Caenorhabditis elegans: one gene and its partner. The protein of the gene in region 1 purifies or fractionates together with the protein of each later gene. This does not show direct contact. Each region holds a gene or a part of one and is shown on either strand. Other genes may lie near its edges.

The links. Proteins that work in one complex are often made in the same cells at the same time.
Region 2: the proteins of haf-3 (region 1) and prdx-6 fractionate together in Caenorhabditis elegans (co-fractionation; one large-scale study listed by BioGRID). This does not show direct contact.

What each region holds. Positions count from the first base shown.
Region 1 is NC_003283.11:15,759,080-15,769,282, forward strand, and holds haf-3 (ABC transmembrane type-1 domain-containing protein), read right to left. Parts: upstream 7,094-10,203; 5' UTR 7,086-7,093; coding exon 7,015-7,085; intron 6,966-7,014; coding exon 6,881-6,965; intron 6,837-6,880; coding exon 6,728-6,836; intron 6,676-6,727; coding exon 6,448-6,675; intron 6,388-6,447; coding exon 6,185-6,387; intron 5,468-6,184; coding exon 5,186-5,467; intron 5,138-5,185; coding exon 5,056-5,137; intron 4,770-5,055; exon of another isoform or gene 4,629-4,769; intron 4,435-4,628; coding exon 4,248-4,434; intron 4,193-4,247; coding exon 4,052-4,192; intron 3,432-4,051; coding exon 3,251-3,431; intron 2,336-3,250; coding exon 2,264-2,335; intron 2,206-2,263; coding exon 2,134-2,205; intron 2,072-2,133; coding exon 1,944-2,071; intron 1,861-1,943; exon of another isoform or gene 1,804-1,860; intron 1,737-1,803; coding exon 1,577-1,736; 3' UTR 1,376-1,576; downstream 1-1,375. Other genes in the region: str-9 (Seven TM Receptor), read left to right, coding at 183-740, 788-965, 1,226-1,338; F57A10.2 (Major sperm protein), read left to right, coding at 7,496-7,513, 7,561-7,677, 7,730-8,018, 8,063-8,106.
Region 2 is NC_003282.8:215,577-222,730, reverse strand, and holds prdx-6 (Thioredoxin domain-containing protein), read right to left. Parts: upstream 4,180-7,154; 5' UTR 4,165-4,179; coding exon 4,079-4,164; intron 3,270-4,078; coding exon 2,889-3,269; intron 2,191-2,888; coding exon 1,962-2,190; 3' UTR 1,878-1,961; downstream 1-1,877. Other genes in the region: Y38C1AA.1 (Phospholipid/glycerol acyltransferase domain-containing protein), read right to left, coding at 5,729-5,860.

The DNA.
Region 1 (10,203 bases):
AGCTGACAAACATAACGCCCAATTTTTTTTCTGCGCTTCATTTTCATCAGATTTCGGAAAATTCAGTATAAATTTCAAATGTATAGAAAATGCACCGTAACCGTGCACCGGATAGTCTACTGTTACATAAGTTACTGTAGTGGTACTGTAGATAGTTCATCCCTAACCTACTTCATTTCCAGTTCCTGCACACCTACAACGCCAGCTTGATCTACTTTAGTCTTTCCCGCCCATTGGGACTATCAAACTTCTCAATGGAATGGATGATGGGAATCTACACAGGACTGTACTCTGCAACAATCTGTCAGCTGGCAATTCAATTCATTTATCGGTACTGGGCACTTTTTGATACTCCGAAGATCAAATATTTCCATGGATGGTACTACTTGATTTGGGTGTCCTATTACTCATTCTTCGGAGTCCTATGGGCATTTGCAGTTGGGCATTTCTTTGCGATGGATGACTTCGGAAGAGAATACCTTGGTGGGGAGATACTTCTTCGTTACGAGAGGAACATCACAGATATCCCTGTGCTTGGCCTGATTGCCTATGAAGGTAATAGCATCCGCTGGAGGAATGTCTATGGGCTCTCTCTAATGACATTGATCTCCACAATTCAATACTCGGTTATATTGATTTGTGGGCATCAAATGTATCATGGAATGCGCGCCAAACTCTCCGTCCTATCCGCCCAAAACCGTCGCCTTCATAAGCAATTCTTCAGAGCCCTCGTGATACAGGTTAGTTTCATGTGTTCTTTCACATAATCAGAAGTCGCGGTTTACAGATCACTGCGCCCACAATCATACTGTTCTGTCCAGTCTTCTTCATGATCTATGCTCCATTTGCAGACTTGGAAATGAGCTTCCCGTCTTGTATAATTCAGAGCGGCTTCACAGTATACCCAGCTCTCGATTCAATTATCATGATGAGCTGTGTTTCTGAGTATGGTAGAGCGTTGAAAAGTGAGTCTATCGGGGATCTCGTAACTGGGAAACTTCGGAGAAAAAATGCGTCAGTGGTGAATTCAGGAGTAGGCGACGAATCCGTTAGTTGAATTCTGTAAATTTTTTCACAAAATAAAAAAGTAACCCGAAATAACCTTTCAAAAAACGGTAAAATAAATAATTCTGAAAAACCGCGCTGCAGTATTGCAAAGCGAAGTTCCGCCTCTGCTTCTGGTAGCACAGTAATCCCCAAATAAATGCAATAATTTTTTTTCCAGAGCTAATCTGGAACACTCGGCAAAAGTACACAGTAAGGTCTCCGGGGCCGGCGGCGGACGAAAGTAAAGAGACGGTCAAGACTGGGAGCAAGGCGATTACTACTAAACTTTGATGATTTTTCTATATTTTCTTCCAAATAATAAAAAAGGAGGAATTATTATTAATTTAAACTAGCTCTTCTACATAATTCATCACAAAAGTAGCAGGGGAGAGGAAGGCACAAAAGTGGGAAGAAAAATGACCTAGAAGAACAAAATCTGAAATTTTAAGCTAACCAAAAAAAAGTGATATGAAATAAAAATTAGGGGGAAAACAAATCGACTATTCGTAAAACAAAAAAAAACAACGATTTAATAAGATTCGGGATTTTTGAATCCAAATGTCTGCTTTTCCACCAGCTTTCTGAAAATTCCGTCGGGGATAGCGATAAGCTCGTCATAGCTTCCAGATTCTGCAACACTTCCTCTATCGACTACAACGATTTGATCGGCATGCTTGATTGTGGACAGTCTGGAATTTCGGAAATTGTTAAAAATCGACATTTTTCCGATGTTTCTTGTTTTCCTCGAGGAGTACACACGATGTGCGTAAATCGACAAGATGTCGATTTACGACGCATCTTGTATACTCCAAAATGTTTCAAAAAAGTAATTTTTAAAATGCCAAAAATCGAAAAATTTAGATTTTTTTTTGAATTTTTTGCTCTAAAAACTTTACCTGTGAGCAATAATCATAACAGTCTGTTTACTATTCGCGAGCAATTTGTTGAGAGCAATTCGAACGAGATATTCTGACGAGGCGTCGAGTGCCGATGTGGCTTCATCCATAATTAGAATATTCGGCTTCTGAAATTATTTTCAGATTTAGTAGAGCTCTGGGAAAACTTTTTCTAAAATATTTTTCTCACATTGACAAGAGCACGGGCGATGGCAATTCTCTGCTTTTGTCCTCCACTTAGTGTTGATCCGTGCTCACCGACCTGGAAATCGAGGTTTTTAGATTGAAAATTGAAATATTTGTGAAAAATGAATACACACCTTTGTGTCATATTTAATTGGGAATCGGCTGATAAACTCATCGGCGTTGGATTGATCGGCTGCTGAGACGATCTAAAAATAGAAATCTAATTAAAATTGCAAATTCTGGAGTTTTTGGGATATTTTTGAGTATTCAATAGCGGATTTCAGGTTGGAATTGTATTGTATTCTTTATTTTATTATTTTTAAAAAATTAATTTTTTAGAAAGTAAATTTTCAAAAAATTATAACAATTTAATTTGTTTTGACAATTCTAGAAATTTCAATAATATGAAAATTTCGAAAAATTCAAGTAATTTGACAATTAAACGTTTGAGGTTTTTTTTTCGAACCGGTTTTCAACATTTTTTCAATATGTTTCAAAAATAAGGTTTTTTTCTAAAAATGGAATTAAAAAAATGTTTTTAAAAACGGGTTTTTAAAAATTATTTTTTGGACCAAAACTGTTTTTCAAAAACTTTCAATGGAGGAAATAATACGATTTTTTGTATTGTTGGTAAAAATAAAATTCAGAAAAAAAAATCTCCGAAAAAAAAACATTTTGAATTGAAGAATAGTTGTTTTTTGTCTGAAAAATGCGAAAAAAATGTTTTTCGGAAATTTTATTGCGGGAAAAAATATTTTTATTCCAAAAAATAGAATTTCTTCAAATACTGAAAAATTAAACAATGGATTTTTCGGTCTTTTTTGGACCAAAAACTGCTTTTCGAAAAAGTTTATTGGAGGAAATAATTCTTTTTTTTTTGTTGGTGGTTTTCCGGTTTTTTTGTCGAAATTTATTCTCCAAAATTAACAAATATCTCCAGAAAAAACTAAAAAATTTTAGAATTATTTCGTTTATTGATTTTTTTTGGATTTTTTTTTCAGATAAAAATTCGTTTAAAAAAATCGACCACATTTTTTACTGATGAAAATTCAGTTGGAAAACTAGTGATATTTCTCGATTTTTTGCATTCCTTCCAAATCCCCGGTTTTTTTCGTACTCACTTCAGCGTCGGTAACGTTTTCAGGTTCAAGACTTCCATAAATAATATTCTCTTTGATAGTTGTCGAGAATAAAACCGGTTCTTGTCCAACTGTTCCAATATGACGACGCCAATATGATGGATCAATGTCCTTCAAATCGGTTCCGTCGACCAAAATTCGACCGCTCGTTGGATCGTAGAGTCTGGAATTTGAAAGAAATAATACATTTTTCAAAAAAAAAATTACATTTTGGGTTTTTACGTAAAAACTTTTGGAAATTAACAAAATTTTGCTGAAATAAAAAAGCTTGCAACGTCTCAAACAAATCGGAAAATTTTTTTTTGCTCATTCCCGTCGAAAAGAACGGCTTTCGTTAATTTTTGGTTGTTTTTTTTTCGTAAATTAAAGCTTTTTTTAATAAGTTTAATCACATTTTTCGGAAATCTAATTGAATTTTTGAAGAACAAAAAAAAAACGAAATTTGTTTTTTTTTTTTGCTTCAAAAACTACCAAAAATGGATTTTTGCCACTTATTTTGTCTTAAAATGGCCGGAAATTTTTTTTGTTATATTTTTAAGTTTTTTGTGCAATTCCGTCGGTTTTCAAGAAATTTAATTTTTAATTTGGATTTTTTGTTACGAAAAAAATTTTTTTTCGTAAATTTTGCCCTTTTTTATAATGTAAGGGTAAATTTTGCAAAAAATTCAAAAAAGAGTGCCGAAAGTTGAAACAAAAATTTTTCAGCTTTTTTCTAAATTTTATAATATTTTATCGCTAATTTCGGGTCATTTTAAGTATTTTTCCTCTTAAATATGGTTCTACCTAAGCAAAAGCGAGGCGATTGTCGATTTTCCTGATCCAGATGATCCCACGACTGCCGTGATTTTTCCAGCTGGCACATCAAATGAAATATTATGGAATAATGGGTCCCGGTCAGCATATCCGAATGCAACGTGCTCAAATCTGAGAAAAAAAAATTACATTTTTTATTTCAAAAGTTATTTCAGTATTGCGATACCTAATAGTATCCTTGACATTTCCAATTTGAACACCTCCTTCCAACGGAATTCTTGGCTCCCGATTTTTGAGCTCAAAGAGCCGGGAGCTGGCTCCGAGACCCTTCATCAATTCGAGATAGAATCCAGACATTGCTGACAGGCTACCAGCGCTGAGAACTGCGTAGAGACAGAATGAGGAAAGTTCTCCTGAAAAAATAAATTAAATTGCAAAATTTTTAAAATTTTTTTTAGTTTTTTGGTGATTTTTTTGGATAAAACTTTTTGTGACAATGTGTCCATTTACGCAGCGTGTGTACTCCTCGTGGAGAAGAGGATTTCACAGATTTTCGGCGGAAATTCATGAATTTTCAACCATTTTTGACATACATAATTTTTGTATTTTTTCCTAGTGTTTCAGGGAAAAAAATCTACAAAATTTATACAGGAAACCAGAGAAATTTAAATTTTGTGGGATCCTGGATTTTCAGTTTTTTTTTTCAAAATTTTATATTTTTTCAAAAAAAAAATTTCTAAACAATTTGCATTTTTTCAAAAAAATTTGCAATTTCACACAAATTTTTTGGTAATTTCTCTTTTTTTTTAAAAAGACTTTTATGGATAAATCCATGGTTTTCTTCGGTATTTTTTTTCTGAAAAAAATAGAAAAACGGAAATTTTCCGACATCTTCGATCATAAATTCAGCGATTTTAACAGCAAATTCCTTTTAAAAAATCAGAAAAAATGTTCAAAAATTGAGCATTTTTGCATAAAATTTTTCCTCGAGGAGTACACGAGCTGCGTAAATCGACACACGAATAAATCTTTACCATATGTCAAAAGTCCCTGACTAATCAGATTGCTTCCGTAGAATAGAATTGATGAGAGCGCAAGATATCCAGTGAATTGGAACTGAAAATTTCCACCATTTTTTTTTCAATATTTTTCCAATTTTCAAACCGATCCAAACATGAATCCCTTGGCGAGTCCTTCCTTCTTCGAAATCTGCCAAATTTCATTAATTTTGTCAGAATACGCGGCGAGTTCCTTCCTCTCGGCGACCAACATTCGGACGGTTCGAACGGAAGAAAGACGTTCAGTGGCGACCTGATTCGCTCCGGCGACAGCTTCTTGCATCATTAACGTGTATTTTCTCTGAAGCTTTCCGAAAACTGCAAAAGTTCCAACGATGACCGGTACGACGACAAAAATCACTTTGCACATTGCCAGGGAGGTGTAGACCTGGAAGAAAATTCAATTTTATTGGAGAATTCAGGGAAAAACGAATAAAAAATCATTTTTATATTCGAAGTGTCGATTTACGCAGCTCGTGTACTCCACGAGGAGAAGTTTTTTTTGCAAAATTTTCTACTTAAAACTTATTTAAAATTTAGATTGTTAAGGGTTTTTTTAATTTCAATAATTTCAGGGTTCTTTTCAATTCTTCAGGAGATTTTTTTTGAAAATTTCAAGTTTTCCATTGAAAAAATCGAATAATTTGTGCTTTCTGATTTTTTTTTTTTGAAACTGCAGAAAATCAGAAAAATTTGGAAAACAAGTTTCAAAATTTCAATTTTATCTCATTTTTGTGTATTTTTGAAGAAATTTTCTTAATTTTTGTTAATAATACTGTTTTTTTGTTGATAAATCTAAACAGGTTTTAGATTTTTTTTTTTTCAATTTGCAAAAAAATATTGAAAATTCCGGTATTTTTCAATTTTTAATTATTTTTTTTTCTGAAAAAGTTATCTGAAAATTAGAGTTTAGAATCGGATTTAATATTTAAAAAACTTTAAATTCAAGGTTTTAATTTTTTCAAACATAAAAAAGTCCAAAAATTCAGCATTTTCGCTAAAAAAAACTTCTTCACGAGGAGTACACGAGCTACGTAAATCGACACGAGGAGGGTTTTCAAGACAATTTTTCCAATTTCAAAGATTTCGTGAAGCTCAATCGCACCATAAGACCTCCAGAACCGAAACAAGTGATCAATGCACGGGCTCCATCACTCAAATTCATCGAAACTGAATATCCAACGATAAGAGCATCAGTAGAAAGACGAGAAACAATTTCTCCGACTTTATTTTTATCGAAAAATGCCATATCTTGACGGAGAACACTGTTGAACACACTTTTGCGAAGATCATTGATCACAAGTTGACCTGAAAAAATTTTAATTAAATTTTAAATAATTAAATTTCAGTTTAAAAGTTTTGCCATACCCGCCGTGTGCATGCAGTAAATTCTGGCGGCAATAGCAATCGCGCCCAACATGAAAACTCCAGCTAGAGCAATTGGATTTTCTTTGAAAAATCGAGCCAATAGTAGGGCTTTATCGTTCGGATCCATTTTATCTTGCTTCGTCTCGTCCCACTCGTCGATTAATTTTCCGAGAACGCGAGGTGTGAAGAGGAAAATCGAACTACTAATGCCGAGAAATGAAATTCCGACTGAAAAAATCGATAAATTTAGGACTTTATTCAGATAATTCTCGAAACATACGCATAATTCGCCATTTATAAGGACCTGCGAGTGATAAAATCGCTTTCAAATCTTTCCAACTCGCATTTTTCAGCTTATACGATTCCCTTTTTGTTTCCACTACACTGACCTGAAAATAATTTATATTTATTATAGAATTCCTTGTAAACTTACATTTCTAAACGCTTGTTTTGACTTTATTAGTGTGCTTTTTAAAAATCCCGTTGATCGTCCAACTTGTGGCGCGAAACAAAATAATCTGAAATATGAGAGCTTCAAATTAGATTTTAAAAGACACAACTAATTACCTGGTTGAGCTAGAAGGTATTGAAGAACATTTCGAACAACATAACCGGCTCAAATGTGATAAAAGTGACATGTGGAAAGCTGAAAAACTTGAAAATGACGCAATTATCTTCAAAACAGACAAAAATTTACAAGATTTTAATTGAATTAGTGAAAAACTAATCTGAAATTTATATTTTCCACAAATTAAATCGAAAATATGGTAAATTTTCCGGTAAAAACGAATTAAAAACGTGGAATTTTTCTGAAAATTCATTAAAAATGCGAGAAAATCGAGAGATGCGCCAGAGGGGCTGCTGGCGCATTTCCAGTTTTGCTGGCGCATATCTCGATATTGGAGGGAATTCAAATATGTTTTTGGAAAATTGAAATTTTTGAGGGGGATTCACGAATTAGTTGATGGAAAACGTGAATTTCAATTGGACCACAACAATTACAATTACAAATAAAAGAAAAACAACGTTTTTCTTTTATTTAACAATTATGAAGCTGGCAGCAAAGGTGAGTTTTTTCAATGTTTGTGTTTAAATCTACCAAATTTCCATCAGACCTTCACACCAAGCACCGCAGATCTTCCCTTCACAGATGCAGGTGCGAGCGAAGACTCGGGTATGGCCAATAAGCCCGGTGAGCCCGCTTTCCAGTTGTGGCTCGACGTGAAAAAGGTGTGAAAATGAGGTTCCCATGAGAATGGATTGGATAAAATCTTTATTCCAGGTGGTATTTCCAACCACTTCAGAACCATCCTATGTGAATCTCCGACTTCACAATCCGACAGACAAGAGAATCACATTCAAAGTTCGTTGCACTTCAGCGGAGCTGTTCCGTGTTCAACCGCCGATTGCATTCATCAATGCCGGTGCAACTGTCAATCTTGTGATGTGGAGCGCCAACACCCACCTGCAGCCGGAGAAGAAGCATTATTTCGCATTTTACCACAAAAATGCGTCTCCGAGTGCTCGTCAGTCTCCGCCACTATGGAAGGATGGGCTGAAAGACGCGGAAGGTGCGGCTGGCATAGAATTTTCAGAAAAAAATCTTTAATTTCAGGAGTTCGTCGTATCCCTGTCGTCTTCCTTCCTCCATCATCGTAGAAAGGAACGCTAATAAGAATTTTTACATTGAATTTAACGATCTAAAATTCATTTTTTGTAAATGCCACCAAATAAAACGTTCACTTGTGTTTTATGGATTTCGAAAGCGATTTATGAAAAATTATCGTTCTTTATCACGTAAACAGTCACAGGCAAAGCGGAAAGTGCCCAAAACGGTCCGTTCATGGACCGGGAACGGCTCAAATTTAAGAACGGTTCACGGTTCGATTCCCGGTCCGTCAACGGACCGTAATTGAACCGTAAGGAGACTAAAAAATTGGAAAATTTTTTCACCCTCCAGCTGCCCCCTTTTTCTTTCCCAATGCTCCACCGAGCTCCGGTCTTGCTCCAGACCGTCTTCCGGTGATCCTTCGTTGTAGCAATTCTATCTGCCTCAGCCGGTGTTGAACTTGTCCTCTGCCTGTCGATTGATTACTGGCCCATCACCTTACCATTTGGCCGTTCGCGCACGCGAGGAAAATCAATGGACTTCGCATAAATAGCGATCAGCTTGCGCTCGCGCATTTTCTTCTGGTTTTCACGTCTTACACCAACTTTTTCGATTGTATTTTCAGTAGTTTCTGATTCTCCATCTTGCCGTTGGACTTATATGAAAGCGAACGATAACAATTGACAGTTTCGTGTAGTTCAGAACTTATTTCGCATATTTCTTAACATCTACCTATACGTGCTCCATCTACTTGTAATATAGAAGTGGTACTTACCATATTTCCTCCATTAGTCTTGCATGCAAGATTAATTTTCGATTGGACCGGGTTGCAATACTAATAGAGGAAATAAGGTATATGCGTTCTACTTGAATGATACCTTAATTTCTTAAAATACACACGGAACAGAAACGATATGATTCCAGAATGTATTGTTAGTAAAATATTTTATGATATTTCAAAAAATGCTCCTGTTGCTCAGCTGAAGAAGACCAGCAGAGAGAGTGAACGTTGCGTATACACAGTATCTACCCAATTGTGGCATTTCATCTTTTTTATTGATATGTTTATAGGATTACATTAATATAACCTCTTTTACACACAATGTCATGCTTAATAGCCTCAGTTAGATCGCATGCGATTACGGGCCGCGTACGGACCAGTTGGACGGATGATAGACAAAATGGTTGCCCAGAGGAATTTTTTTTTCATGAAAATTGAGTTTTTGAAGTACCCACAATGCTATTTGGTCCATTGTAGCCAGTTGGCTAATTTTTTGCCGGATTCAAGGTTTAGTTTTAAAAAGTGCAGTTTTGCCGACGGGGACGGTTAATTTACGGACCATCTACGGACCGGCTACGGCCGAACTACGGATGATCACCAAAACGGAGGATAATACGAAACATTTTTTTCATGAAAATGGAGTTTTTGACGTGCCTACACTCTCCTTTGGCTAATTTGAGCACTTTTTCCGTGCTAGAACCTGAAATTTTCAAAAACAAAAATTTGATGCCCGGGACGGTTCATTTACGGTCCGTCTACGGGCCGGCGACGGACCGTCTACGGACCGGAAACGGCCCAACTACGGCTCAAGAGCCATCTCGGTCGGTAAATGTGGTTTTTGCTCTAAATAATGCATTTAACGACGTAAAAATGCTTGAATTAGCCAACTGGTATCATAGGTATTAAAAAATTCGTTTTCTTAAAATCCATTTTTTCCTCTTAATGGCCATTTTTTACATTCCCCGTAGTTTGCCCGTAATTGGTCCGTCCCGCTTTTCATATCCGTAGTTCGCCCGTTAATGGTCCGTTCCCGGTCCAAGATCCGTAAACGGACCGTACCCGCTTTGCCTGTGAGTGTGAAAAAAAGACATTGAAGCTTAATGTTCTGAAAATGCATATTAAAAGAAATATTTTTCCGGGAGCCATCAGACATTGAGGAACGAGAAACTCCAGAGAATTCAAATTTGTGGAAAAGTAGGCGGAGTCCATCTTTCAGGTTTATCAGTTCAACCAGTAATTACATGAAACAAGCACAAAAAAGAAGGTCTTCATTTTTTTTGTTGTAAATCTTAACATTCTGTTGTTTTTGAAAAATAATGTAAAGGAGCTCCACCCATTTTCTCACCAGCATGAAAGTTGGGAAAAC
Region 2 (7,154 bases), on another chromosome or scaffold:
GAAAGTTAGAAAAGGGCAATTTTTTAGGGTTCTCAGATCAATTTTGAGTCCTCTAACTACAAAATTGCCTATTTTAGAGGAGTTTCAAAATTGTGCTTTTTTGTCATAAATTGTCATTTTTGCCACTTTTTAATAGTTTTTGATGGGTTAAACCTAGATTTTCTGAATTCTCCATATATGAGTTACCTGTTTTCAACAAAATTAGACCACTTTTTATTTTTGCCCAAATTTTTTTCAGCCATCTAATGACTGTACTTTTTTTTTTTTGGGCAAAAAAAATAATTTTTCTGAAAACGTTCGAAACTACGGAAAGTTAGAAAAGGGCAATTTTTTAGGGTTCTCAGATCAATTTTGAGTCCTCTAACTACAAAATTGCCTATTTTAGAGGAGTTTCAAAATTGTGCTTTTTTGTCATAAATTGTCATTTTTGCCACTTTTTAATAGTTTTTGATGGGTTAAACCTAGATTTTCTGAATTCTCCATATATGAATTACCCGTCTTCAACAAAATTAGACCACTTTTTATTTTTGCCCAAATTTTTTTCAGCCATCTAATGACTGTACTTTTTTTTTGGGCAAAAAAAATAATTTTTCTGAAAACGTTCGAAACTACGGGAAATTAGAAAAGGGCAGTTTTTTAGTGTTCTCAGATCAATTTTGAGCCCTCTAACTACAAAATTGCCTATTTTAGAGAAGTTTCAAAATTGTGCTTTTTTGTCATAAATTGTCATTTTTGCCACTTTTTAATAGTTTTTGATGGGTTAAACCTAGATTTTCTGAATTCTCCATATATGAATTACCCGTCTTCAACAAAATTAGACCACTTTTTATTTTTGCCCAAATTTTTTTCAGCCATCTAATGACTGTACTTTTTTTTTTTGGGCAAAAAAAATAATTTTTCTGAAAACGTTCGAAACTACGGGAAATTGGAAAAGGGCAGTTTTTTAGTGTTCTCAGATCAATTTTGAGCCCTCTAACTACAAAATTGCCTATTTTAGAGGAGTTTCAAAATTGTGCTTTTTTGTCATAAATTGTCATTTTTGCCACTTTTTAATAGTTTTTGATGGGTTAAACCTAGATTTTCTGAATTCTCCATATATGAATTACCCGTCTTCAACAAAATTAGACCACTTTTTATTTTTGCCCAAATTTTTTTCAGCCATCAGACTGTACTTTTTTTTTTGGGCAAAAAAAATAATTTTTCTGAAAACGTTCGAAACTACGGGAAATTGGAAAAGGGCAGTTTTTTAGTGTTCTCAGATCAATTTTGAGCCCTCTAACTACAAAATTGCCTATTTTAGAGGAGTTTCAAAATTGTGCTTTTTTGTCATAAATTGTCATTTTTGCCACTTTTTAATAGTTTTTGATGGGTTAAACCTAGATTTTCTGAATTCTCCATATATGAATTACCCGTCTTCAACAAAATTAGACCACTTTTTATTTTTGCCCAAATTTTTTTCAGCCATCTAATGACTGTACTTTTTTTTTGGGCAAAAAAAATAATTTTTCTGAAAACGTTCGAAACTACGGGAAATTGGAAAAAGAGAAAGTATGGTTACTGTAGAAGGGTACTGTACTTCTATGTACAGACAGAGGATTGTTGTACTTTTACTGTTAAGGAATTTACGTCAAAAAATGATTTTGTTCCAGAAGATCTCAACTCGGACGTAATGTTCTCATCCATATCAACACATTTTCTGAAATTCACATCTTCGACGAGAAGGAAGAAACACAAAATGGAAACAGCTGGAGTTTGAAAATTACAGTTCGGATTAAATTGTGAAAAACCATTTTTGCATTTTTGTAAAACTGTTAACTATAAAATTCCCGAAATTCCAGAGCCTCACTCAAAATCGAGTTGCTTTTTCAGAAATAAAACAACATAATTGATTTATAAAATTGGAAAAATTCAACATTAAAACCAGGCAACCAACAAAAAGTAACACATATTTAAATAAAATATCAATTCTGCAAGTAAGCGTCTCCCTCGATGACACGTAGATAACTCTTTCCACTCGGCAACGGAACCGTCTTGCATTTGTCTGGATCTCCACCACAAAGCTCCTGAATAACTCTCTCTTGACTCAGAGATGGTTGAGCGATGACATTGTCACCGGCAATCCAGTTAGCCGGAGTTGCCACTGGAGCCTTTGTGCCGAGTTGAACACCGTCGACCATGCGGAGAATTTCGCTGGAAATTATGGGGAATTTTAGGCGCCAAGGCTAATGACTGGAAAATTGATAATTCTAAATATTTTTTCTAGTTTTTCAGTCTAAAAATATGTAATTCGACTTTGTTCGTGAATTCATTTATTGAATTTTCTAGTTTCACGTGGTGTCAGGCTGTCCCATTACCACTGGGTTCTGGCCTTTCTCATTGAATTTTCGCGCTCCGTAAATCTACACAAAATCTCTCCGACCCAAAATGGCCTAGTTCGGCCAACTCTGCCATTTCGATTTATAAGGGAAGCCAGAAATCCGTGCATCACGGTTTGATCTACAAAAAATGCCGGAATTTTTTGCCCAAAAAAAAGTGACGTCAGCACGTTCTTAATCATACGAAATCAGTTAAAAACTCTGCGTCTCTTCTCCCGCATTTTTTGTAGATCAACGTAGATCAATCCAAAATGAGATACTCTGACACCACGTGTAGTTTGGCAAACAGTTTTAAAAAAAACGGAGTCATTCGAAAATTGTGGAAAATTTAGCTTTTTCAATTTTTTTGTTTCAGGAGGCTTGCAAAAATCTACTTGCAAAAAAAGCAAAAATAGTTTTTTTTAGAATTCAAATTTCAACAAAAATCTATTGATTATTCGAATTCTGTGAATTTTTGAGATCCAGAAATGTCTGAAAACTTGAATTCTCTCCCCTCGAAATCTTCTCACTCACACAAAATTTCTGCCGAACGTAGCCGGATAGAGAATCTTCGATTTGAGCTTCTTATCAGGTCCAAAAAGCATCACAGCACGAGCCGAAAGACAGATTCCCTCCGAATTCATCTCATCCGGATCAATCATTCCGAGTTCTGTACAAATCGATCGATCCGTGTCGGCGATGATTTCAAATGGCAAATGGCTTCCGCAATTGCTCAATTGTGCCACCGAATTAATGTCTTTTGCCCAATCACGATGAGTTTCTGATGAATCGATACTGATCGCAAGGATCTGAACATGGCGTTTGCGGAATTCGGGAGCCAATTTGACGAGCTCGGCGAGTTCTGTAGTGCAGACGGGCGTAAAGTCGGCCGGGTGACTGAACAGCATCAGCCATCTGAAAATTGGATCGTTTTGGATTGGAATTTATTTTTTTAATAAAAGAATTTTAAAGTGAAAAAGTAGATTTTTGCAAAAAAAAATTATAAAAATTCTGAAATACTTTTTAAATGTGTTTTTTCAACTTTTTGCGAAAATTATTCAGGACTTTTTTAAAATATTTAAATTCACCTGAAAATGTAACTTTTGAAAAAAAAAATTTCGAAATGTTTTTAACATTTTTTATATAGTAAATCGTTAATTTTTTAGAAAAAAAAAATCCATATTTTTTTGGAAAATAGATGTTATTAAAGGTGGAGTAGTCGAATTTTTATTTATTTCTTTACTAGACTCAAAATTGTCTGAAAACGCCAAATTTCAACATGAAACTTCTTGAAAACTTCTCAAAAAAAAGTTATGACGGCTTAAAAACTAGCCTAAAATTAGTTAAAATCGAAAATTTGACCGACTTGTCAATGTCGAAGCGGCTGGAACCAATTTTTTTTGAAATCATCGTCAAATTTTGAGTAAAGGCGACATTGAAAAGTAGGTCAAATTTCTAATTTTAACTAATTTTAGGCCATTTTTGAGCCGTCTTAATTTTTTTTTTGAGAAATTTTCATGAAATTTCATAACGAAATTCCTTGTTTTCAGACAATTTTGAGTCTAATAAAGCAATTTAAAAAAATCCGGCTACACCACCTTTAACTCAATTTTTCATTTTTTTTCAAAATTTCCAAAAAAATTTGTTTTTTCAAAATCCTTTCAAATTAACTCAAACTATCCAATAAAGTACAACCAAATTAACAATTTTTTCTCCAAACTCACTGTTCTCCAATGTAGTTGTGCAAAGTTTGATTTTTGCGAAGATCCGTTTCGAATGTAAAATTTGGAACGGTGTCTCCGAGCTTCATCTCTTGAGTTTTAATCTGAAATTTATTATAATTTTCAGTTTTTTGAATGTTTCAATAAAAAAGTAAAAAATAGTTTCTTAAGAAGATAATATGATTTGGCTCAGCAAAGAAAAAACAAAAAAAAATTTCCAATCACAACAAAATTCAATTTATTTCGTTATTTCAGGGAAATGTTGACATGATTGTGTAGGTGATCGTGATCTACCGTACCAGTAGACACCTTCGTGTTGCTCGAAAAAATGTGAAAATTCGAGAAAACAACTCAAAAATAGCCAAGAAAAGGGCGGAGCGTAATCCAAATTAAAATCGCTAATAGGCTCCGCCCATATATTGGCTTTAAGCTTTTATAAATATCAAAAGCTTTCAAAATTTCAGAATTTTTTTAAAAGAATTTTTTTATTAATTCAGTAAAACTTAATTGAAACGTGCGTATTAAATCATTTATACATAAAAGCCATGAGATGGGCGGAGCTTATTTTGTGGTTTTTGTTCCCGGCGAATGTCATCTGTTTTATGTGTTAGACTTCACTTTCCAATCGGATATTTGGAGTGGTGTCGGACAATGAAATTATTTGTAATAAGCTCCACCCATTTCTTGGTTTTTTAAAATTCAATTTCTTAGATTTCAGCATTAAAATTGTTCTAAAACAAGAAAATTTAATTGGTTTTTTGTTTTGAAAATCTAAAGAGCTTTAGACCAAAAAGTTTGTTGAAGGAAACTTGAGAACCCGAACACAAAGTAAATAAAACAATTTTATTTCACTTTTTTCAGCCTCAAATTATTTGGAATAGGCTCCGCCCATTTCTTGGTTCTTTCAAAAATTCCATTCAATAGATCCCAGCAAAAATTAAAAACAAAAACAAATAATTTCCAGAAAAAAGTTAAGAAAAATTTAGATAGCTAATTTTTTTTCGTTGTTTTTAAACAATTAAAAAAAAAATTTCCAGAAAAAAGTTTTTCCAACGTTTTTTTTAGGAATTTGATTTTTTTTTTTAATTTTTGATTTTTCGCTTTAAAAAGTAATTACAAAAAAACTTTTTTTAAAAAACTGAAAAGGTTCTAAGCTTAGATAAAACTAGCAAATTATTTGAAAAAAGGAAAAAAATCAAAATATAAAATCATTGGTAGAGTAAACAAAGGAAAAAAAGCAAAAAAAAAACGTTAAAAATAATAGAAATTTGATTTATTATTATGACGGGGGGAAAAGTACACATTTATCACAGTTAAGACGGGTTTTTTGTAAAATAAAGTAATTTCTACGAAAAAAAGGGGTATAATTTGTAAATTATTGATTAGATCAAGGACAGGGATGCAAATTTTGAAAAAAAAATCATTAAAAATTACTGAAAAATCCCACAGAAAATGCTCAAAAACTACTAGAAATTTCGATTTCTCGAGAATTTTTTTTTTTGAATATTGTAGCAATTTCCGCTGGATATTTTCAATGAGAACCTCCCAAAAAAAGAGATTAAAAGCTGCAAAATTGAAAATTACACAGAAATTTAGATGCACAGAGAGATCCAAAAAGAACACAAAAATACAGTATTCAGATTTAAAAAAAATTTAGATTCCACCGAGCTCATCAACTTCATCATCATCATCTTCAACTCCGGATCGATCCCGTCGGAGCACCACGATATCTTCTGAGTCTGACGTTGGACTCGTCGTTCCTGCTCCGTTTCGTTGTAGGAGTTCCTGAAAAGATTAAGAATTAAAAATTGTTTTGGAGAATGGAAAATTTTCTTTAATTTCCATATATTCAAGAAAATTTGCAGGAATTTTTGGAAAATGTCATAGTTACTGAACCGTTTCTTTTTTATGATTTTAATTTTTAACAAAAATTCGTCAAAATAATAAATAAAACATAACAATTCATAATTTTCAGCCGCACCAAAAAAGTATTATGGTAATGAGAATCATTAGATTTTTTCAGGAAAAGAGTTCCCAAAAAGACTAAGAATAAGAATTTGGAAAAAAAACTTTTGAGGAAACAAATAAAATTGAATTTCTTATCAATTTTTTGATTTTTTCTCAAATTTTTGTAATGTTTCCTTAATAAAAGAAAAATAGTTGAGCTTCTCCAGTGAGCTGACAGTGCTACGTGGCCGTGGAAAAACTGATGGCCGAATTTTGTCTGTTTGCGGTTCCAAATTTCTGTTAAAAATAGAAAAAAAAACGGCTCCGAAGAATTTTTGGTTGAGGCTGAGGATTTTTGGTTGAAGCTGAGAATTTTTGGTTGAGGCTCAGAATTTTTGGTTGAGGCTGAGAATTTTTGGTTGAGGCTGAGAATTTTTGGTTGAGGCTGAGAATTTTTGGTTGAGGCTGAGAATTTTTGGTTGAGGCTGAGAATTTTTGGTTGAGGCTGAGAATTTTTGGTTGAGGCTGAGGATTTTTGGTTGAAGCTGAGAATTTTTGGTTGAGGCTGAGAATTTTTGGTTGAGGCTGAGAATTTTTGGTTGAGGCTCAGAATTTTTGGTTGAGGCTGAGAATTTTAGGTTGAGGCTGAGAATTTTTAGGTTGAGGCTGAGAATTTTTGGTTGAGGCTGAGAATTTTTGGTTGAGGCTGAGAATTTTTGATTGAGGCTGAGAATTTTTGGTTGAGGCTGAGGATTTTTGATTGAGGCTGAGGATTTTTGGTTGAGGCTGAGAATTTTAGGTTGAGGCTGAGAATTTTTGGTTGAGGCTGAGAATTTTTGGTTGAGGCTGAGAATTTTTGATTGAGGCTGAGAATTTTTGGTTGAGGCTCAGAATTTTTGGTTGAGGCTGAGAATTTTAGGTTGAGGCTGAGAATTTTTGGTTGAGGCTGAGAATTTTTGATTGAGGCTGAGGATTTTTGGTTGAGGCTAAAGATTTTGGGTGAGGCTGAGAGTTTAAGTGAGGCTCGGGAGTTTTGGGTGAGGTTCAACATATGTCAGTGTTGAAAAACTATACAGTATATTTTTCCTTCCTTTACGACTTCAAAGGTGCGCGTATTTTCGCGAAATGATCT